Linked DNA regions of Nothobranchius furzeri. The protein of the gene in region 3 binds, or shares a complex with, the protein of the main gene of each other region. Links are inferred from orthologs where the notes say so. Each region holds a gene or a part of one and is shown on either strand. Other genes may lie near its edges.

Region 1 (4,824 bases), about 7.5 Mb from region 3:
ACTAAGAGCTGTAGCCCAACAGATGCTGCTCAATGGCCTAGTGGGAGTGTGTCCGCCCAGGGACTGGGAGGTCGGAGTTCAAATCCCAGTCGGGTCATACCAAAGACTTTAGAAAGGTCTCCCTGCTTGACACTTAGCTTTAAGGGGTTGGATTGGGGGGTTAAACCACCAAACAGTTCCTGAGCTGCCGTGTCTGCAGCTCACTGCTCATCCCCATGGGGAGCAGTGAGCTGGGTTAAATGCGGAGGACAATTTTCACCACACCACACCAGTGTGACTTGGGGATAACTATGGGACTTTTAATCTTTAATCCCTGGAACAACCTCTGACAACTTTAATCGGAGTGTGAGGATGTGAGAGACATTTTTCTAAGAGGTAAAGACATCTGTTAAATGCTGAAAATACACACATTTTTTGTTAGAAAGAAGTCCCACTTTTGATAAATGTGGAAAAATCAGACAATATTAGTCTGTGGTTATTTGTTTATTGCAGCTTAACACTATAGAGACAATCTGTTCATGTTTGACCTTCACCCACTTTTCTGAATCCCAGAATAACAGTCAAAGGATTTGAGTCCATGTACCTGTTGGAGCCACCTTAAAGATGTAGTCTCTCCAGCTCAGGATGACGCGAGGTTTGCCTGTCCAGCACTGCACGGCCCATCGTGTCACACAAGATAGACAGAAGATGATGACGAGATGAACCAGTGTCATGAACAGAGGATAATGGAAGCCCTGAGTGAGATGAAATAGTAGACAGGATTAACGAGAACCGCTGTTGGGAAAAAAAAATGGCAACCATAACTCCAGGAGACAGACATAATATGGATTAAGATGGGCACCAATCAAGAAACAAATAAGAAGCTCTAATAAAGTAACACTCTGGGAAAGGGAATGGGTCTCATTTACCTTCATTAGCCATTTGTTATAGAATGTGATGCCTATAGAGAAGACATAGTAGAGGAGGACCAGTCCAATAGTGCAAAGACCTCTGAAGAGGAACTGAACTGGGCACGCCATCCGGGACTTCCAGGACCAGCTGTCCAGAATGGACTGTTAATGCAGAGGGAGCATCTCCAAAATACCTCTGCACCCCACCACACCACCCATAATGGTTCACTAGAATAAGGACCTAAGGGGAAAAACAACAAACATATGAGATATGTTATTCGGATTCAACAGAACATCCTTATCTACAACAGATAATGTAAATATGTGAGATATAATTCAACTTAGATTATCTGAAATGACTGGGGGACCTCACCCTATACACCTGAAAGACACATCCGGTCTAGCTTTAACAAGCTCTAGCAGACAGCCATGACTTGTTAATGTAACTTAAAAATAAACTATTTTTTAAAATAAAGTTCTCAACTAAGGAGAGTTGTAAATAAAACCCTTCACTTCTAGGAGCGTTAAATTGTATTTTATTTACCTTTATTATAATTCTGACCAAGAACCATGCGATTTGGATTTGGAAGATGCTATAAAATTAAACCAAAAAGTCATTAAGACTGTGTTACCACAGCCACAGCGTTAGCCTACACAGCTAACAGCTAACGAGACATGTGGAGATGAACGGCGTAGCACACACATCCTACTTTACATCTAGATATAATATAAAGTGTGTCCGGTTTACCAGATGGCTTGTGAAGAATCATCACAACCAAGCAGTTGCTATCTTTAGCCGTTAGCTGACAGCTAAGCTAACGCAACTTTCGGATCTCTAAACGTTTTAACAACATTAACATAGAAACATTTAGTAGCTAACCAGCGACTCTAGTGTAGTTCTTACCGGTTCTGATCTTGTGTACACGTCTGAGCACAGAAAGAAAGAAAATAAGGCACTAGATATTTGAGCTAGTGTTTCTTTCCGCTATGTTTCTTCTTCTACGCCTTCAACGGAGGTTGACACATTATTCACAAATGCATGCTGGGTTAGAGAAGCAGAAAACAAAAACCGCCAAAAAGCTTCAACTTCATTATCATTCATGATATAGTTTGGCTAAGTAGAAACAAAAACACTCAAGAAAACAATTGGAATAGATGCAGATCTGAAATAAACCTAATATACATATGAAGTCGTTATTTTTTCCGTTTGTTGAATTCAGCCTGTCAGTGTGACTCTCATGGCTCTAATATTTATTAATTTATTTTGTTTATTTATTTATTTATTTGTGACTCGTTTCAATCTCGATTTTAAACAAGAATTTATTCAAAAGATTAGATCTGCGCTGACGTTTCAAACTCAGTCCAGTAGGTGGCGGTCATGCAATTTGAAGTTGGCGTGTCAAACGCTGAAGCCCAAAAATACCAAAGAAGAAGAACAACAACGAACGTAGAAGAGTCTGGGGATTGTTGTGATCCAGTTTTCAAAGTAAAATGTAATTTTTGTTCTCTAAAACGCATTTTGATGTTTGCATGTTGTAAGTGTGAGGTTTATCTTACAGTAAAGCGTCGTTAAGGCTCGTTTTATCGGCGTTTTCCTCCAGAATTAATGGCGGACGAGGAGGACGAGGCTGGCTTCGAGGAGGAGTTGGAGGACGGGTCCAGCGGAGTGGATGTCGGCCACGGCAGGAGAAAGAGACTCTTCTCTAAGGAGCTCCGGTGCATGATGTACGGGTTTGGAGACGACCAGAACCCGTACACGGAGTCTGTGGATATTCTGGAGGATCTGGTGATCGAGTTCATCACGGAAATGACCCACAAAGCCATGTCTATCGGGCGCCAGGGCCGCGTCCAGGTGGAGGACATCGTTTTTCTAATTCGCAAGGATCCCAGAAAGTTCGCCAGAGTCAAAGACCTCCTGACCATGAACGAGGAGCTGAAGAGAGCCCGGAAAGCTTTTGATGAAGCCAATTACGGCTCCTAATGAACTCGCGTTTGTTTGTCGCTTCCTGCTAACTGGTTTGTGTATTTTTTAGTGGTTCTCACTTGAATAACAGAACTGACTGTTTTAATGACATGTTTACACTGTCAAGTCATCGGAAACTCTCAAATAAAGTTAGTTTGTTTCAAATAAGTCCCAACACCAACAGGAAAACCAACATCTGTTATTTACATTGAAGAATGAAACTTTCTGCCAACGTGTTGGAAAGGATTGTTAAGGTTTTTTTAAGTGTTTCCATGGAAACTGCGTGAATAAATTAACATTTCATTATCTTTCCTGCTGTTTGGATTGGAGAGACTTTTGTGGTATATCAGGTGTTTCTGCAGTTTAAAATTAGAGTTTTTACACCTTAAATGTACCCGTATGTCGTTAGTTTCCTAACTTTGTTGCTGTCTGCAGAAGAGATGACCTGCTGTGGCACATCTGGCTGGGATTTCATAATTGTGAGTGTTAACCCTTTGATGCATAATGGTCACTACAGTGGACAGGTACTCAAAATTGTTATTTATTTGTTTTTGCACAAAGCACAGCTGTTGAAGACTTGATGGCATTTGAGCCCCTCCATTTGGACTTCAGTAAGTCAAGCCAACATGTTTCATGCTCAGAATGCACGCTGCCCACTGAGGTGGACATGTAATAAATTATTTGTAAATTATAAAAAAAATATATATTTGTTGAAATTTGTTTCATTCACACCTAAAGACGAATGAAAAAAATCATGGTTGAAGATTTCATAATTCATGCATCAAAGGGTTAAAGCATTTTGTAATAATGTTCACTCATCTGTTCAATCAGAACTAACCAGTTATGCCATTCAAAGATATATCTACAGTTAATCGCTCATAACATTTCCACAGAACACTTCAAAGGATCTAAACGCTTCCTTTGAAGTGTGCGTCAACAGCCATCAAGTGTTGAAGTACAACCAATCAGAGTGTTTTTCAGAAACCTTTAACCCAGAAATAGTCAGATCTGTTATTTATATATTTGCTGGACTTCAGTGTTGTCTCATATGAAGAAAAAGGTCCAATCCAGGCTTCGAGGTTCATTTCACACCTGCATGTTTGTGACCCTGGCTGGCTCACAAACGTGCAGATGTTCTAGTTTATGAAGATTTCTTTGAGTTCAAACAAACACAAATAAAAGAACAGCTTTGAAGAGCTGCTGGAGCGTAACATCACACCAACCTCAGGACAACTGGACGTCGTTTTTATTTTCTCTTGTATTTAGATCAACTGATTCTTTAAATAATAAACATTTATGTATCTGAACTGAGAATTAACCTTCATGGTCTCTCAATCTGAACCCAGAAACGGACCAAACACCAAGTCTGGGTTCTCCTCACACCAGATGAGACTTAAGTGTGTGTTTGGATAACACAAAATCTGGTGACAAAATGAAGAAACAAAGGCATTTTATTTAAATTCCTCAAAAACAAAGTACTTTTTACACAGACCATAAATATGACAGACCGACTACAAGTGAGCAGGTGTTAGTTCATTTATTCTTTTCAAGCTTCTTTTTACAGTGAAGAAATTGAATTAATTGGTCTAAGCAGCAGGTCACAGGCTGCCCTTCTATCTAGACTACATCTGGATCAGAACTTCACAAAGAGGGGGGTCGATGAAGACACCAAGCCTAGCAATCAGCAGAAGGTGTTGACTGAATTTCCTCATTGCAGCTTTGCTGTCCGGTGGCGGGGTCCAGTGTCAGCACAGCATCGGTAGCCTGCTGTCTGCCTTCAGAGGGAGTCAGCTCAGCCGGCGACCCCCACCAGGTGCCCTGCTGAGGATGTCTGCAAGGCTACAAGGATGGAGAGGTAAGGCAGTGAACCAGGTGGACAACAAGGGGAGTGTGTGGGTGCTTATTCGGGTCAGAGAGGTGGAGGCAGGGCGAAGGTTGGTGCAGATGTGTTCAGACAGAGGTCTCACAGGA
Region 2 (6,235 bases), about 14 Mb from region 3:
CCATTTTCCTCCTCCTGTCAGTGAAAGAGAATGTTTTTGTACTTGGTGTTCGGGATCTGGTCCCGGGTCTTCAGCCTCCTCACGGCTTCCCTCATGTGCTTCGGCTGGAGGGGCGGCGTGTCGCCCCACTTCTCACAAACATCCAGAGCTGGAAAAGGGAGAACTCTTAATTCAGTTAAATGAACGGCATGTTTGTGTTTGATTGGTCCTCCGCTTTACCTTCTTCTACAATCTCTCCAACAAACACCTTGGCAATACCAGACATCGCAATGACCACATTTTGGGACACCGACGATCCTGTTATGGACTGGATCAGCTAAAGAAAGACCGACATCAGAGACTTTAGTTTAAGGGGGGAAAAAAGCCCTGATGCCTGTTTTCCATGTAACAGCTCACCCTTTTAATAGCAGCTTTTGGGAAGGCAGAGCGTCTGTACATCTCATAACGGTTCAGCTGCTCTTCAGAGAAGGATGACACCAGCACTCTGAAGGAGAAGCGGGTTTAATCTTTGGCTAAAGATCTGAAGTGATGAACCTCTGAAGGTACAAAGATCTTACTGCATCTTTTGTATTTCGTCCTCATCGACCTTGTGGCGCTTCTCTTTTTTCTTCTCTGGCTCCACCTTCAGCCTCTTAGAAGCAGGCTGGCCAGAGGTTCCCTCATCCTCGTCGTCTCCTGCTGTCGTTTCCTTTGCAGAGGGAGAAAAACGTGGAGTGATGCTACAATCAGGCACAACTAAACCGCAGTGCCCAAACTGATAAATATTTGTTCAATTTTCCAGATTTCTGCACACACAACTCTTTCATCTACATTTTCACACAGGTTTAGAAAGTGAACCGTAGTGTTCAGTTACTACATTAGCTGCTTTTATACAAACACTGTTTGGGTTCTTAACACAGACTGTTCATTTTGGGGTAACGGGCCTTAGCAAAGTGTTTTGTTTGTACTTAAATTATCGTTTTTAGGTTTAACACAAAGATTGGAGAAGAGCAAAAAGTTCACAACAAATGGCTTAAAGGGTGATTTGGTTTAACCACCTGAACAAAAAATGTGTTCTCTGATGTTTTATGAAACCAGAAATCACATTTTATGCGACATGTACCAGATAGTGGGTTTTTGTTTAATGATGACCACAAAACTGATTTATTTATTAGAAAATATGTCCCGTAAGAGTCTAAGCAAACTACAAGTTTCTATCTGCTGTAAATATAAACACATAAAATATCCAGTTGTCCTATTATTAGTAATAATGTGTCCAGGATTAGATGCAGGGGATCAGGCCCAAACCATCACACCACCACCACAAATCTTCACTTTGATGTAACAAGATACCTACTTTGTTCATGCAAGCATAAACATTTACACACCTGAGAACACAGCTAAAATAAAGCTGATCTTAATTAAAACAGGTTTTAATGTAAGGAAACTTCAATTATGGCTCTTCTCTATAGATTCATGTTTTACTATTTAGAGCTATCAACTCCTGTCAATGTTTCCGCGCACCATTATGGTTAGCTTCACTCACAGCTTTAACCAGAGGTGTGGGCTGATCCTGCACGCTCGGTTCTTTATTTTCTTCTGTAGGTTTTTCTGAGACGAGTTCATTTTCAGGTTGATCCTTCCTAACTACTTCTTCATCGATAGCAGAAGCTGCCGTCTTCGGAAGAGAATCTTCTGTTTTGATCCGAGCAGGATCTGCCATCGTTTCTCGACGTCTCTCTACGATTCAGCCTCTGCAAACATAAAATGTTCTCAACATAAATTTATCTGGATAAATATAGACCAATTAACTGGTAAACAATCCAAATATGCTATTAATAAACTTGAAATCAAAATAAATGATACTCTGGTGAAAGATCCTCTTATCATAGCTACTGAAATGAATAAATACTTTGTTGACACAGTTCGAGATATAACTCAACAATTCACACCGTCTAACGGTGTTTTTGATCCTGTAAATCCTTGTCATGCTGTTTTCAGGATAGAAGAAATAACAGAAGTGGACAGCAACCAATCAAAGGCAAAGGATGTATATGGTCTCTCGACACCCATTTTTTAAAACTGCACAAAGATGCACTAATTCAGCCGGTAACTCATTTAATTATTCTATCGTTTAAACAAAATGTTGTGCCTTTAGCATGGAAGCTAGCTGCAGTCACGCCAATTGACGAAACTGAAATGGCCAATTATCGGCCCATCAGTATTCTCCCCACTATCTCCAAGGTTGCAGAAAAGTGGGTGGCAAAGCAACTGAATGCATATTTAAATTTTGGACACACATCCCTACATCCAATGCAATTCGGATTTCGTAACTGCCACTCCACAGAGACTGCAAATTGTGTCTTTGTGGAAAAAGTCAAAAGTCTCCTTGACAGGCATGCATGTGTAGGAGCTGTGTTCATAGACCTCAAGTAGGCTTTCGACACGTCGATCATCAAATTCTTCTAAACAAATTGAGTCATTTTAATTTCTCACCAGAGGCGCTGCTCTGGTTTCAGTCTTATCTGTGTGACAGAAAACAATATGTGTCCTTGTTTGGCAATAAATCCTCCTACATTAGTTGTCCAGTTGGAGTTCCCCAAGGCAGTATTCTGGGGCCGATTTTGTTTATCATTTATATTTATGATCTTCTCGAAGTATGTTCAAAAGTAAACATACAAATGTATGCAGATGATGCTGTTATTTTTACTGATACTAAACGTCCTCAGGAAGCCTCCCAATTGTTGACTGCAACCATGGCCCATGTACAAAAATGGGTCAAGAGTTCCCACTTAAAGCTGAACATAAAAAAAAACTGTTTGCATGTTTTTCACCAAAAAAAACAAACAATTGAACTAAAAAAAATCAAACATCTTTCTTGAAGGGGTAGAACTTGATATTGTCAAAGAATTCAAATATCTTGGGTTAACTTTGGACCCAACCTTAACTTTTAAGAATCACATTAAACAACTTTTAAAAAAAAACTGTCAATTATAATGTCATTTTTTTAACAAGTTAGACCTTTTTTCACTCCATGCTGCAAAGTTATTTTTACATTCTATGATTTTGTCTCACATGGAATAGTGTATAACCTCCTGGTCACTTGCTGCTGGTGCAACACTCAAACCCATAGAATCCCTTTTTTTAAAAGCCATAAAAATCCTTGATAAGAAATCATTTAGTTTCCACCACTGCTTTGTTTTAGATAAATATAGACTTCTTAATCTTAGTAACTTTGTTACCTTCAAGAATGCTTGCCTGTTTTTTAAGGTTTTACATGGACTAGCCCCTTTCCCACTGACAGATTGTAATAAATCGCGGTCTATCAGTGGAACGTCGACCAGGGCTACAGATAGAGGAGACTGTGAGGTGCCTTACAGACGCACTGCTTTTGGCCCGACCACACTATCCTAACTAAATATTGGACTAAATATTGGAATAGTCTACCACTCAGCATAGGTGACTCACAGTCATGCAGTTCCTTCAAATTCAAACAATGGCTGCAGGAAACCCAAACCCGTATCCATCAGTAATTTGTCCTCACCGTGGTGTTTTGTGTGTTTTCTTTCTGTTTTTCCTAGTTTTAAATACAATACTTTACTTTCTTTTATTGCTTTTATTACCCGCCTAGGGACTGCAGATGTAAATTAGCACTGGTGCTACAATCTGGCATATTTACCGATGCAATTTATTGTTGAAGTTCATTAATATGCACTGTCCCTATTAAATAAAGAAAGAAATGAAATTTACCGTTAAGGTGGATTTTCACGACAGAAATAACAGCATATACATACCTTCAAGCCAGAACGAGCTCAACGACACCACAGGAAGCAGCAACAAAACTAATTTAAACGTATTTTAGGTAGCCGTGAACAGAAAGTGGATTAAACATGATACATTTGTATAATATGTTAAAGCACACAACAAACGTGAAAAGCTAAGCTAGCGCTTCTTTCTTCTTCTTCTTCTTCTTCTTCTTCTTCCTTTTCTTCTTCGTGGGTTAATGGCGTTTGGAAAAAAAAAATGTTGTCGCCCCTTACCGCACTGGAGGGTAGCTGATGAGGCGAATTCATAAACTCTAGGGAATCTTGAACGTAAAATAGTGCTGTTCTGTTTATTGCCACCAGCATAGAGCTCATATTTTTCATTTAAGGAAAAAACAGACTTTGGAAGAAATTAGATAGTCTTTCTACTCAGGAAGTCTTTTACATGTATTAATCCAGATTTATTTCCTTCAAATCCTCCTCCTCCTTCTCTTTTGTTATGTCCCCGACAGGAGATGTTAAAATGTGAAGGAGGGGTAACATAAGAAATGCGACAGCGGGTTTAAAATGGCTTTAATTGTTATAAAAGGATCTACCTGGATAAGATGCCTGTGTGGAGCTTGCTTCAAACTCAGTTTTTCATTGGCTTTTTGTGAACGAAGAGGTAAATTGCTTTCCTCTAGTGGCGAAAAGCCGAAACTACACGTTGGTTCTGGTCATTTTTAGTCATTGGGTAAAACATCAGTAGAAAACATGTTAGCGTCCTTATATCAATGAGGCTAGAAACTGGAGTTTGAAGTAATTATCTTTAGGTAAGATAATACTTCTTTTTTACAAAACGTACTATCTCTTTAACAAACGTAAGCTAACGTGCAACAACAACGACGACCCAGCGCTGTGATTGGCTGGAATGAGCCGCGAGAAACGGAAAAGGAAGTGGTAGATGTTAGGGGAGGAGCTTAAGGTAGAACGGCCATGGCGGGATGCGTGAAAACGACACACTGTTGTTACAAGTCAGCAATAACCAAAGTTTTAGTCTTCGTTGTACTCTTTATCTGTTTACCCCAGTCTTCACTCCAGAGTACTGGTAAGAAGCTGTGTTACAAAGTGGGAAAATACACAGTCACTTACTTTATTGTGTTTTAACTCAGGCTAATCCAGCTAATTAGTGTTAGCTTGTTTCTTTCACAAAGTGAAACTGCTTGTGTGAGTTTAGTGGTGCTTCATACGTTCCTCTTTAATTCTGTTGGTTATACATGTAGTAGTTAACATCACCCCAATTCCCTTTTCGTACAATTCCTTTACATTTCACATGGATAAGCTATTAGTTGGGTTTATCCAAAAGATAAATCATTCTAACAATTAGCAGTAGATGATAATCTCACAGGATTATCCAGTCCAGAGACATGTCTGCTTGTGAAATCCAGGGAAAGCAGCCCAAATAATTGATCTGCAGGATGGAGAAGAGTTCACCATGTCAGGATCTAACCGGTTCTGCTACAGAAATGCTCTAGTGCCGACTTGGAGGCAAACTTGGACACGAATTCAGGTGAGTTTCTTGAACTATTATTGTATGTAACTTTTATTCTAACTGAAGTGATAAGATTCACTGATCCACTGAGTCCTGGCCAAGATGGCATCTAAAATAGTTTCAAAATAAAAGAAGACAGCAAACTACAGGGAAAGAGAGTTTCCAGATTTATACATCTCAACACGATCACTCAGTAACAACATACAGCTAATATTTAAGGTACAATGTGTAAGAATTTCACAGTGGAATAATCACTAAACAGTCTGTCTCAATTATGTTGGAAGGAAGGTTACATTGATCAGATTTCCTTCTCAGCTGGCTGGAGGTTGTCAGTTTTTCTCCTTTCAAAATGGTCTAAAAGGGACACAGTCTTTGTTTACAATCTGTGAGCCCACAGGGTTACTGAGTCTGTGCTGGATAACGCTGCAGTGCCGGCATTTGTAATTCCACACCGGCTGCAATACGCAGCAGCGTTTTGTAATGATGCTAAGCCGGTAACAGGAGCAGCCCAGGGTTTTTTCTCTTGTACCCCAAAGAAGCCACGGAATCTTTTTGTTTTATTCTAATGTTGGGTAAACAAGGCTAGAGGCTAACGTTGGGCTAACAATGCTAATGGTGAATTAGAAACAAATATTCAGCTCTAGAAAAATCTCCACCCACTTTTTTAACTACCAACAACTCAAACATTTCAGTGAAATGTTTTTATCTACTTATCAACTAACTTAGTATGACTCGTCTTCACTCGTCATCCAGAATCTTCTGGTGCCAATGTGCAAAGCATAATGTATACTTCTGCGTCTGCTTGGGTGCCGAGACACACAACGCCATTATACGTCGGTGTAAGGGCTCTCCAATGGGATAACAGCGGCTGACAGAGACATAGCCAACTTTTTAAATATCCGTCGAAAGTGACGGAGACTGCAAGCATGTAATTGGTTAGGATGCTGCTTCCTTTAATTTC
Region 3 (6,091 bases):
AACATCACGTCTGGTTGTAAGATGTGGATGTGGGGAGTCCCGTCCTGCTCAAAACCAGCTTTTTGTTTCAACCACTCCTGCTTTTTCTTCTTCCACCCTCCCCTCTTGACTATCCTGCTGCAGACCTGCCAACCTTGTCAAAGTTTTTCGAGTACCACTTGTGCGGCGTTATTCCGTCGACTTTTGCAACTCCGTTGCTTTTCACGCTGTAATCTCCCCATTCACTGGATGGAAAATTTTACGCATGCACACACACACACACGCACACACACATGTTCATAGTTCTTATTCCGACTAGTAAGGTTATAGACATTTTTAGTTTGACCTGACTCCAAAGTATCATGTATTTTAATATTAAACAGTAAAACTCTAAAGTGTAATTATATAATATTTGTGCTCATACAAGTTACTTGCATTAAATTATTTCAATACAAATTAATAAAAAACATTTATATGTATTTAATGGTAATTATTTATTTTGTAAATTGCAATAGGTGTTTCTGTTCTCAAGAATGTAATATTACATTGGCTTAAAGCACATCTGCACACATCACCAGGGCTAATTTACTGATTACCTGCAGCTCCCTGGTGGCTTATGTCCACATCATAATTGCAGATTGTGCAAAATGCATGCTGAGATTGTTTAGAGGGTCGCAAGCATGGCCACTGTTCTTGATATTTGGACAAAAACTTGTGAGACACATGGATCCTCTTCTGTTTGGCAGGTCTGCTAACCAATCCCTCCCTGTCCGCTTCTCCCTCATCTGCCGTAGCATGAGCTGCAAAACGAGCTGCGAAAATAAAATAATGGCTGCTTGTTTAAACTGTATAAATAATCACATTCCTCCTTATATACAGGCCAAATCTATCTGCAATGGATAAAGACAAACACACACACACACACACACACACACACACACACACACACACACACACACACACACACACACACACACACACACACACACACAGGAGAGAGGAGCAGCGGGCAGGACGAAGCAGGGAGGAGGGGGGCGGGGGTGTTACGCTAGGTTAGGCAGGATAGCTTTTCTCTGCTTCTCTACGATGATTGGCTTAAACTTCTTCACCACGCCGCTGAGTCAGACATGAGTACCACACGTGCATATTCGCCACAGAACTCAACTCAGGTAGTTTAGAGGGGTGAGTCGTACCAGCGTAAATAGATGCCAGATTGCGTACAAGTTGGCAGGTCTGCTGCTGAAATCAGAGACTGGTTTGCCTCCAACTGTTTTAAGTTCATTTCAGATCAAACTTCTTCTGGACACTGAACCATCCCTGGCTAATCGCAGAAACGTATCTCTGTTGATTACTCCACTAACACCACACTAGTACCAATAAAGAGCTCTTGTGTTATTTTGGATAGCGCCTTATCCTTCCTATTACTCCTAACCGTTCTAACACACTCCGCAGTGTAGCTGCGACTCTCTCTGTTTCAATCCTAAGTGCTGCTTTTTATTGCCCTGTTCCTCTTAGTTTAGACCTTCAGAATGGCACCTTCAAAAAGTTATTTTTACTACTACTCTACTGCGCCTGGCACCAATTCCCAGCTGTGAAGACTTACTGTCACCATATTTCCAGCTGTGTTCTCGCTGTCGGTCTGGTCGTCCTGCTCAGAGGAGTCCGTCTCCTCCAGCGACTGCAGTTCCAGCTCCGAGGGCAGGAGGGCGCTCAGATATGGGATGGTGCTTGGCCGAGCTGCGATCACTAACAACAGCAATGTGTTATTCTGTATTAATGCACAGGGTTACACACAATCTGACGGGTAATGTACAGTCGGGATCCCTCACATGGGAAGGCCGTGACGTCGTCTTTGAAGAGGCTTTGAGTTTCTCCAGTTTTGGCCATGAAGCGTGTGAGGGCCCGTTCTACGTCTCTCCTCTGGTTCGCTGCCTTTTCTCTCACCACTTGGTACTCGGACACAGGCTCTCTGAATGTCTGAGGGAAGGAAGGAGAGCCTCGCAAAACACCTGTTTATGCAACATCACCCACTATGGGGGTGAACGTGGTTTTATAGGGCTATTATGGAGATTATGTTGATGAACTTACAGGTGTTTTGATGTAGGTATGAGGGTCCGGAAACTCTGGGAAGTGGCTAGGAATATGAGGTGGGTGAGTGCGCTTGTGCCCAGCTGACAGGGATTTAGGTGTTGTTGGTGTGTTCGTGACTGGAGCTAAAAATCAGGAAATACAAACATGTAGAACTTAAAACTAGCCTACAACCGTGACTCGTTACTTGATATCCTAGGGTATCATCACAGCTCTAACAGCAGAAATGTCAGGTTTTGTTTCTTACGAGCTGTAATGACCATCCTCTGTGACCGCTTGGCGTACACGGGGAGAGTGTCGACATTAAAACCTTTCCAAGGACAAACAATCACCGATTAGGAGTGTGTTCACAGTAAAAAAAAAACATGTCACCATGCTGATGCACCTTCAGTCTTACCCATTTCAATGAGTGTGACCACCGTGTCAGAGAGGGTTGGGACGCTCCTGGCCGTGTGTTCACAGTATGCTTTGGCACAACGACCTATTTCACTTATATCTTTACAGGAAAATGATACCATTAGTATTTCAAAAACTCTACAGGCACGCTTTTAAACAACCAAACAAATACCTCATCAAAGGCCAGCACCAATCGTACAACACAGTAGTGGATAGAAGCTCTCAGAGTCATAACCTGCAGTCACTAGTTCTTATTTAACTTCTTTAAACGCTGGACGTGACTCCGGTTGAAGACGTTCATTTGAACACATTGTGATCTCTTAACAGCGACATATTTTTTATTAAGTTCTCATTTTATTTATTCAGAGACGGGTGAGGGAGCTGACTGTGGTTGTGTGTGTTTGTGTGTGTGCGTGCGCAGACACGAGGGTCCAAATGCGGCTTGAATTCACCATTTGTCATCTCACCTGCTGTGCTGCTAGTTTCCCTGACTCCACAGGGGTTTGCCTAAAGTTGTGCGCATTTTCCTGTCAGGTTTTCTTTATAAATGTGCGTGGAAAGTGACACACGCGGTTTTCAGACCCGGTTTTGTTTATAAATGGGGCCCCAGATGGAGCAGAAACAGCTGAAACATAGAGGACGGAGGCTCTTTAAAGAGCAAGTCACCCCCTACAAGAAGCGTACTCCACTCCCACTTCATGTTTGAAAAATGCAACAAATGCTGTTGCCTAGCAGACCGAGAGGGTGGAGCCACTAACAAATACACACACGCACGACATTGTGACATCATAATGTACCAGTTTACATCATAGCATACCTCTTAGCCAATAGCGGTGGCAGATTTAAATTCAAATGCAGTGAAGAGTTTTTACCTGACAACGGCACAACACTGACAGTTTAAGGCAGAAAATTTAAATTTTAACTAAAATGCACTAAAGTGCAAAACTATTGACCACACGTGTCTGCAGCACGATTAGACACGCATTTATATAGTTTATCAGAAAAAATAGTTGATTTGGGGGTGACTTGCTCTTTAAACTAACCTAGACTGATTAGATCAAGTGAAGTTTAGACGTAAACATGCATTCATCTGAATAGCCTTAACCTGGTGTTGGAAGCTCGTGCTCAGCGGACAGAAGCTACTGTTTGTAAACACTTACAGCTCTGCATCATCTCCGTGAGCGTCTCCACCGCGGCCTTCTCTGCGCTCTCAAAGCCGCTCTCGGTCAGCAGGGCGCTGACAACAACCTGCAGGGTGCGACGGCGGGCCAGCTGGTAGTTCTCCGCGGCGCTGGAAGCCGCTTTAGCGCCACGCTGAAAGAGCACACACACAAACCCTGGCGTTGTAAGGTGCTAGCTTAATGTAAATATCTATCGAAATACTACTGCTCGTGCCAAGGACCAACATGTTTATTTACAGTAGTAATAACTGTGGCGATGAGAGGCGCTTGTAAGCTAGCTGGCGCGTTCTAATGCCCTAAAAAGCATCTCTTACCCCGCAGGAGGGCAGCGACCCTCCCGATACTACCGCTGGATCCGCCATAAGAGGTTAGCTCCAGGTTTCCTTCTCTAACAAATGCAATTCTTCTTCTATTTCTACTTATCCAGAAACCGCTTCACCGTCGATTGTAAACACAGCTCATACTATGACGTAATTTCCGCTTTTGTTGCGGAAGTGAAATTGAGTATTAGAGTCTTTCACTCTGCCATCTAGTGGCTATTTGCTGACATAACGTACCAGTAAGGGCGCACATCTCCCCAGTTTTACTGCTTACTGGTTACCAGAGGTGGTCGGGCCTTTCGAGCAGTGGCTCCCACACTTTAGCTCTGTCCTTGTGCTCTTATTGAAAAGATTGTGTTGAGAAACAGCTGAAAACACATTACGTTAGAATTTTTTTATACCTTATTTTATGTTCTTTTGTTTTTACGAGCACATTTTTACACAGGTTGTATGCGGTGTTTACAGTTTTTATTTGTGAAGCCCTTGGTGATATTTTTTCTGCGAACAGTGCTAAATACACATTACTTTTTGTTTTACTCAATAAAATTCTCCTCATGCATAAAGCTTAAACCTCTACCGTTAAAGTCGAATAAATCTGAATCTGTGGGCGCTTTAAATTAGGGCCAAAATTCTGCGAGCAGAAAAAATGTTTATTTAAGTACAAAATGAATGACACGAATGGCATTTCATGAGCTCCATAGACACCCAGTGCATGTCAGCCATTGGAACCTGCTGCCCAGCAGCATTACTAAACTGTATCCTGCAGTTTTTATTGTAACATTTCAGCTAAGTTTTAGCCACCAGCTAAGAAAAACTACACATTTAACCATATCTGAAATAAATTAAAGAATAAAAAATGAGCTGCTTGATTTGGTAATGCAGGCTACCACCACCACCACCACCAACAATACTGGTATATCTTTGTCCTTTTAAGTGGTGTGGAGTGTTTCTTTAAGAAGCATGTAAGCGGTTGGCTGAGCTTCTCTGGATAGATGTCCCCAGATATTTAGTCTTGGCTCCAAACGATACTGCTCCCATCATGTCCTCAACTTCGGCATGAACTGTGGCAGAGTCTGATTTGCTCGTACTGTTTTCCTTATTCATCTCGATGTAGAACTTTGCTTGTTCTTCCCCTGGGCTGTGATTGTCTAAAAAGGGCTGGAGAATCATCTCCACCACACCACCGACCATCCCGATCATCGCCAGAGTCGAGCCGAGCATGTAGATCTTAAGCATGCTCCAGCTGGGCTTCTGTCTCAGCATTTCCTTGGCAAAAAGGATGATTTCGTTGGTGCTGTCCATTTTCTGATATGCAATGATTCTGCTGGAAGAAAAATAATAGTTTAATGTAGTGTTCTTTTGTGGAAAAAACAATTATCACAAAGACATTTGGCTAATGAATGATACTCACTCTAAGGCAGACGTCAAAAATGTGAATTTCTCCCAAGTGTTTGGCACGATCAGGCATTCGCAGGTGGAGAGGCTGGAGCAGACTTCCCATTTAAATACAGCCGAAGCCGCGTTTCCTCCCACAACAGAGGAGAGACCATGCATATTTATGAGGCCACCTTTTACAGAGATTAGCACGTGTTTGTGTCAAAGGGCATGGGTTTGTGGGGAAGAGAAGTTGAACAAACACTCCCCATACGTGTAACATCACACATGATGTGCAGCACATACAGTAAACAACTGTTTAGTGAGTGCACAGTCACTGAAAATAGTTTTGGAAAACCCATCAATGAGCATACAAACTGAAGTCTGAGTGGTTGGTTTACATTGTGTGATTTGTAACCATGCACATTGGCCTTCCTCACCAGAGCTTGAAAGTTGTCCAATCAAAGTGTTGGAAACCAAGAACAACCACGCCCATTTATTGTCTGACAGATTGCTGCATTGGTTGGAATAGCCCTTATTGAACTGTGACAGATAAGCTCCATACGAAGATAAGATCCACCTCCACCCCCCAATCATGCAGCTCTGGGCTGCTCTGGCTCCTGCACTCCTGCAAACCGTCTGACCGACAGAGGGCAAGAGCCTGCAGGGGGATTGCTCGGTTTCAAACCGACTGCCCTTCGACCCAGATCATGCTGCACGAGCGGGAAGGGTGAAGTCGGGGGAGTGAGTTGG

Evidence for each region. The genes of interacting proteins can lie anywhere in the genome.
Region 1: taf8 (region 3) and taf13 share a complex: the UniProt entries of both Homo sapiens proteins name them as parts of the TFIID basal transcription factor complex. The link is inferred for Nothobranchius furzeri from reciprocal best matches to the Homo sapiens genes TAF8 and TAF13.
Region 2: taf8 (region 3) and taf11 share a complex: the UniProt entries of both Homo sapiens proteins name them as parts of the TFIID basal transcription factor complex. The link is inferred for Nothobranchius furzeri from reciprocal best matches to the Homo sapiens genes TAF8 and TAF11.

The regions. Positions count from the first base shown.
Region 1 is NC_091755.1:48,193,031-48,197,854, forward strand, and holds taf13 (transcription initiation factor TFIID subunit 13), read left to right. Parts: upstream 1-2,261; 5' UTR 2,262-2,376; exon of another isoform or gene 2,377-2,383; intron 2,384-2,449; 5' UTR 2,450-2,496; coding exon 2,497-2,871; 3' UTR 2,872-3,161; downstream 3,162-4,824. Other genes in the region: slc35c2 (solute carrier family 35 member C2), read right to left, coding at 584-734, 909-1,019. UniProt on the Homo sapiens protein: The TFIID basal transcription factor complex plays a major role in the initiation of RNA polymerase II (Pol II)-dependent transcription.
Region 2 is NC_091755.1:54,207,683-54,213,917, forward strand, and holds the start of taf11 (transcription initiation factor TFIID subunit 11), read right to left. Parts: upstream 3,964-6,235; 5' UTR 3,774-3,963; intron 1,734-3,773; 5' UTR 1,703-1,733; coding exon 1,526-1,702; intron 689-1,525; coding exon 558-688; intron 485-557; coding exon 397-484; intron 317-396; coding exon 220-316; intron 149-219; coding exon 18-148; 3' UTR 1-17. Other genes in the region: nemp1 (nuclear envelope integral membrane protein 1), read left to right, coding at 4,719-4,830, 5,171-5,292. UniProt on the Homo sapiens protein: The TFIID basal transcription factor complex plays a major role in the initiation of RNA polymerase II (Pol II)-dependent transcription.
Region 3 is NC_091755.1:40,694,517-40,700,607, reverse strand, and holds taf8 (transcription initiation factor TFIID subunit 8), read right to left. Parts: upstream 4,135-6,091; 5' UTR 4,007-4,134; coding exon 3,959-4,006; intron 3,778-3,958; coding exon 3,624-3,777; intron 2,564-3,623; coding exon 2,465-2,563; intron 2,378-2,464; coding exon 2,315-2,377; intron 2,193-2,314; coding exon 2,068-2,192; intron 1,957-2,067; coding exon 1,809-1,956; intron 1,726-1,808; coding exon 1,583-1,725; intron 792-1,582; coding exon 594-791; 3' UTR 457-593; downstream 1-456. Other genes in the region: g0s2 (G0/G1 switch protein 2), read right to left, coding at 4,916-5,288, 5,376-5,518. UniProt on the Homo sapiens protein: The TFIID basal transcription factor complex plays a major role in the initiation of RNA polymerase II (Pol II)-dependent transcription.